Tribolium castaneum: one gene and its partner. The protein of the gene in region 1 interacts with the protein of each later gene in a biochemical or structural test. Links are inferred from orthologs where the notes say so. Each region holds a gene or a part of one and is shown in the gene's direction. Other genes may lie near its edges.

What was found.
Region 2: of the proteins of caspase-1 (region 1) and p23, one has a biochemical effect on the other in vitro, tested with the Homo sapiens proteins (2 studies listed by BioGRID and IntAct). The link is inferred for Tribolium castaneum from reciprocal best matches to the Homo sapiens genes CASP7 and PTGES3.

What each region holds. Positions count from the first base shown.
Region 1 is NC_087394.1:11,887,035-11,889,917, reverse strand, and holds the end of caspase-1, read left to right. Parts: intron 1-285; coding exon 286-435; intron 436-494; coding exon 495-650; intron 651-902; coding exon 903-1,143; intron 1,144-1,341; coding exon 1,342-1,420; 3' UTR 1,421-2,089; downstream 2,090-2,883. Other genes in the region: RpS24 (small ribosomal subunit protein eS24), read left to right, coding at 2,281-2,283, 2,591-2,737. UniProt on the Homo sapiens protein: Thiol protease involved in different programmed cell death processes, such as apoptosis, pyroptosis or granzyme-mediated programmed cell death, by proteolytically cleaving target proteins.
Region 2 is NC_087398.1:11,190,734-11,193,258, reverse strand, and holds the end of p23 (prostaglandin E synthase 3), read left to right. Parts: intron 1-961; exon of another isoform or gene 962-1,105; coding exon of another isoform or gene 1,106-1,119; intron 1,120-1,389; coding exon 1,390-1,476; intron 1,477-1,526; coding exon 1,527-1,944; 3' UTR 1,945-2,013; downstream 2,014-2,525. Other genes in the region: GlyRS (glycine--tRNA ligase), read right to left, coding at 2,184-2,294. UniProt on the Homo sapiens protein: Cytosolic prostaglandin synthase that catalyzes the oxidoreduction of prostaglandin endoperoxide H2 (PGH2) to prostaglandin E2 (PGE2).

The sequences.
Region 1 (2,883 bases):
ATTAATGTTTTTACTTATAACATAACACATATTCTTATAATTTTAATTAATTAGTTTTAAATTAATGTTTTCATTATTTTAAAACACGCTTCCCATATAAATTAAAATGTTCCAACAAAAAAAAATTTTTTAGTAACACTTCGCATACCTTCGTTGCATAACGACAGCCCTCGAACTTTAAGCTTGTGTTTTCGCACTCGTATTATTAATAAATGTATTAATGTTTTTACTTATATTATAACACAGATTCTTATAATTAAATTTTTATATTATAATTTATTTTAGCTGCCAAATATGATCACACCGATTCCGATTGCTTGTGCATTTCCGTTCTCACTCATGGCGACACCGGAATTCTGTACGCCAGAGACACACAATACAAACCTGATTTGCTCTGGAGTTATTTTGCAGCCGATCGGTGCCCCTCTCTAGCCGGTAACATATTTAATTTTTCTACAGTTTTTTTGTCATTGTCATTGAATCAACAATTTTAGGAAAACCAAAAATTTTCTTCCTGCAAGCTTGTCAAGGCGATAAATTGGACGGTGGTGTTATTTTATCAAGAACTGAAACTGATGGTCACCTGGAAATCGATTCGTATCGCATTCCAGCACAGGCTGATTTCCTCGTGGTTTATTCAACTGTAAAAGGTTATTATTGTTTAACTTTTATTATTTTTTTGTTGGTAACATTTAAGCCTTCTTTTCAATACCTGAATCCTAGATTATAAACACTATTTTAAAACACGCTTTCCATGGCAACGTATTTTAAATTAAAATGTGCCAACAAAAAAAATTAATAACACTTATACACTCGCATACGCTCGTTGCATAACGACTGCCTTCGAACTTTATGCTTGTGTTTTCGCTCTCGTATTATTAATAATTATTATTTTATTTTAGGTTATTATTCGTGGCGCAACACCACTCGAGGCTCGTGGTTTATCCAAGCCTTGTGTGAAGAGCTGCGAAATAAAGGCTTTGATTACGATTTAGGCACAATCCTAACATTTGTTTCCCAACGTGTGGCTTTCGATTTTGAGAGTAATTGTCCCGATTCGCCAACAATGCACCAACAAAAACAGATTCCTTGCGTGATGAGTATGCTCACAAGGTTGATACAGTTCACAAGGGTGAAAGAAGGGTAGGGTTCTGTATTACCGACTTTACCATAGCATGTATTTCTATCAAGTAGCTGTATTAAGTTCAATGTTGAGCTACTTGCTCATTCCATTTATATTCCGATCTCTCTTAGTTTTGTTTTTTGCTCAATGCGCGTCTAAATAGTCTAAACGATGTGTTCTTGAAGACTGCCAAACATGACCTTAAACGTAATTTTTAGATTGGAAGAAAATGAAACGCTCCAAAAACAAGAAAAACGTAAAAATACTATTAAGGGATTATTTACAAAGGGTAAATAAATGCGTAATTACTTAATTCGATTAATTTTAGCATATTTGTGCACAGGTGTCTTTCAAATTTTTAGCTTTCTAAATTTTATTACTAAAAGTAGGTCTAAGAAATAGTGATGTTTGTTTTGTAGGAAATTTTCACTTTTTAGTAAATTATTTTGGCTGTTGTATCATTCCAAATGCACAAGTATGTGCAGTGCAATCGTTTAATTATTTTTAAGTAAATGTTATGCGTAGTAAGTGCCAATTTATGTGTTGTGGCTGTAAAAATTAGATTGGCCACACTGTATCATTCAGTCAGTGTTGCCAACAGGATTTTAAGGTTACAGGCCACTTGATAGTTTAGTTGTATATACTTTCAATCAGTTGTAAGCCAAGCACCAATGACAACGTGTTAGCGTATGTAATTAAGGCACATGAGAAATATCACACTGTATTAAATCGTTAGTTTAATTTTTGCATATTTAATATACGTGCCATTGTCTTTCAAAAAAGTGTCTTATGGAAGTCAAGTGTGTTAACGATTGGAATGGATAAACTACAGCTGTGTAAACATTGCCATTTTAAAAATATTGTATTACTACATAATTAGTTGGTGTATTTTTACATGTAAATGTTTTTATATTGTATACACCTTTATGTTTTACAAAAGAATAAAAGATGTACATTGTGCTCGCACTATTTCGATTTATTTCTCTCCAGTTATGCGATAATTGCTTAAAAATTCTTATCAGAGAAAGGCTCAAGGTGAGGCGGTACTTGTTTAAATCGTAGCTCCAACGAACAGTAGTTTTACTTGTCGGTGTTTTTAACCTACTCGATACTTTCGTAGAGGGCGCTCTTTTCGTGCAGTAATTTTTGTCATCAAAATGGTATGGAAATAAATCTGGAAAAAGTTTGGTCATCTTTCCACTATTTCAATGAAATTAAGTGCAGTTTTGTGAAAAATGTGGCCAGGATTAATGTTGTGTGAAAATTATGGGGCTACTTTCGGCTTTGACAGGTTTTTTTCACCTAACCTATACTGGTGTTCGGCATGGTTAATTGTTTACCATAATTTGGGTAATTTATCGTATTTCTGTGATAAACTTGAATTTTGGGGTATGGTGGAAAGGTGGCCAAAGTGTTCCAGTGTTTGTTGTAACCTCTCGCACAAAATTACCAAATTCTTGTTTTCAGACTGAAGGTACAGCCACAATTCGCACTCGCAAATTTATGACCAACAGATTGTTGTGTCGCAAACAGATGGTTGTAGATGTTCTACATCCAGGTCAGGCGTCTGTTAAAAAAACAGATATTAGGGAAAAACTGGCCAAAATGTACAAAGTAAGTACTTGTTTCTGTGTTCCTAACCCCATTGCAGGTATCGAACTGTTCTTGTCTTACTATGACAAATGTTTTCTTTTTTGGTAAATTTTTACTTTAGCTACTTCTGGAATTTTTGAAAAAATATTTGCATTTTGCTTTAAAAA
Region 2 (2,525 bases), on another chromosome or scaffold:
CAGCAAACGTTCTCTCTACCTTCAAACGGTGAGAACGATGTTAAATCGCCTTTTTACCTATTTGCCATAAAACAGATTTCCTTCGATCCTGAATAGGTAATACACAATGATTTTAACGATAGAAAGTATAAAATTATTACGCATGCACCTATCGTTCAAAATTTTTTAGTAAAATTAGTAATTGAGTAAATAATAATATTATCAGTTTGCACAAGGGAAATTTCTCTATTTTAAGGACAAGCTTTGTGACCATAAAATCTACAAATCCGACACGCACTATTTTAAAACAGTCCAGTGCATTTTATTACCTAGCTATCGTAAAGTACGCTCAGAAAATGAAATACACAACTAAACGGAACTTGAAAAAAAATCAAATTTGAGACTCACCCAATTGTTGTCCTTAAAAACCGACATTCCGTTTCTTAATTGCTTCACCATAGATAAAGCATTTTAATCCACAAATTTGCACAAACTTTCTCACTTTGAAAAAATCAAATTCTCAGACAAGGCCAACCTGTTGGTTGGATTCGCACCAAAACAAAATATTAGCAAAGTCCATACGACCGCACAAAATTAATCAGAGCAGAATAATCGAGCTTATATGGTCGATTTCTCAAATTACGCCCAATTTACTTTAATAAGAAGCGGCCGTTAGTGACCCTTGCCTCTCCAGTTAACCTATGTTGAAAATTTACGTTATGACGCGCATTGTTAATCAACAATCTAACAACAAACGTGAAAAAGCACTGGCAGTGTCGCTCTTTCGACGATTTGTAACTACCTGCCGCGAAATGCGGACTTTCTAATTGGTAGGAAACGACCACGTGGTACTCGACATCGTTTCACGTTGTTGGGAGAAGCGCCTTTTTGTCGCTAAAAACCAAAAGGGGGGGCCTTTGCCCCCGTGTCTTTAAACAATTCGGTTTGGGCGCAATTTTGCAAAAATGGGATTGTTCGAAATTGGCGCGCTCCAGGCCGGTCGGGCGAATCTAGTGACTTTGGCGTGTCAGCCTGACGCAACCGTTACAACTTCACGCAGTTTCCCGGTCTGGACTGGAGTGTTTGGACGTATTATTTTATTTAATTTAAATTAATACAGCCCGAAATGACTCAACAAACGTAAGTTTTGCTTTCTTGTACTAAAAAGCGTTGAAATTGGACCGTGATTGACTCAAATTTCGGTTATTTGTCTCGAATTTTTTCCCAACAACGGCCATGTTGTGGCATTGTGTATAATCGATTCTGGAACATTCGAAAATAATCGTAATTATGATTGCGATTTACGATGAATGCTTTAAACGCGGTTGAATATTTACATAAAAGCACGTTTTTGTGATTGGCGACGTAACGGTTGGTGTGCTAAAATGGCGTCTCTAACCTCACTTTTAGGTTACCTCCCCCAGTGATGTGGGCCCAAAGAACTGGCGTAGTTTTTTTAACGATAAATTTAGAGGACTGTAAAGACCCCGATGTTAAGTACGAGTGGTTGCGCTGTGAGGAACGAGTGGTGACGGGTTCTGTTGCAGATTCACGAAAGACTCTGTATATTTCAAAGGCATTGGCGGCGTTGAGAAGAAAACTTACGAAGTCACAATCCCCCTGTATAAAGAAATAGACCCGGAAAAGAGCAAAAGCTTCAATAGGGGCCGGTGTATTGAAATAATCTTAGTTAAGGCAAGTTCAGACGATTCCTATTGGCCTGCGCTGACTTCTGATAAAAAGAAGCACCATTGGCTAAAATGTGACTTCAACAAGTGGCAGGACGAGGACGATTCGGGTGACGAGGGCGTGGGGGGCATGGGCGGAATGGGCGGCGGCGACTTCGAGGAGATGATGCGGCAGATGGGAGGCCTGGGGGCCGGCGGGGACAAGCCCTCCTTTGATGATTTAGAAGATGGTGATGGTGCTGATTCAGACGATGAACCTATTCCCGATCTTGAATAAGCACTCGAATTACTTCTTTCCTTTTGTATCTTTTCATTTGTTAAGTTAACAATAAAATGTTTAGTGGTATCTTCGGATTTTATTTCTTTGTTCAGTGTTTAAATGTGCTAAAGTTTTCCTTCCAACCGTTCATCATGTGTATTATCAAGTATTAAGTGAATAAAAAACATTTGTAGGTACCAAGGTGTTTAATTTCATTCAAGCTTATAATTATAATAAATTAAAACTGGACAATTCCCTCAAACTCCTTTGCTTTCCTGTTGCTCGAACTTCGGGTATTTGCCCTCAATATCGGCCCATGATTTTTTACTGTACGACAAATCGTGCAAAACTGTCGCAATATCGTCCAGCTACAAACAATAGATGGTGAAACCACTGCTTTAATTTCGTCCGAGAGGGAGCCACGTTACAGTTACCATGGTTATGTTAATTTGGTAACTATGGTAACAATACATATGGCGCCATAACTACAGACATATAAAGGTTAGGATACGAAACAACGTACAAATAAAACGTTCGCGAACTCGATAGTTCCATCAATATCGCCAGAGGGAGCAGTTGTTCCACAAACAAAAATGGTA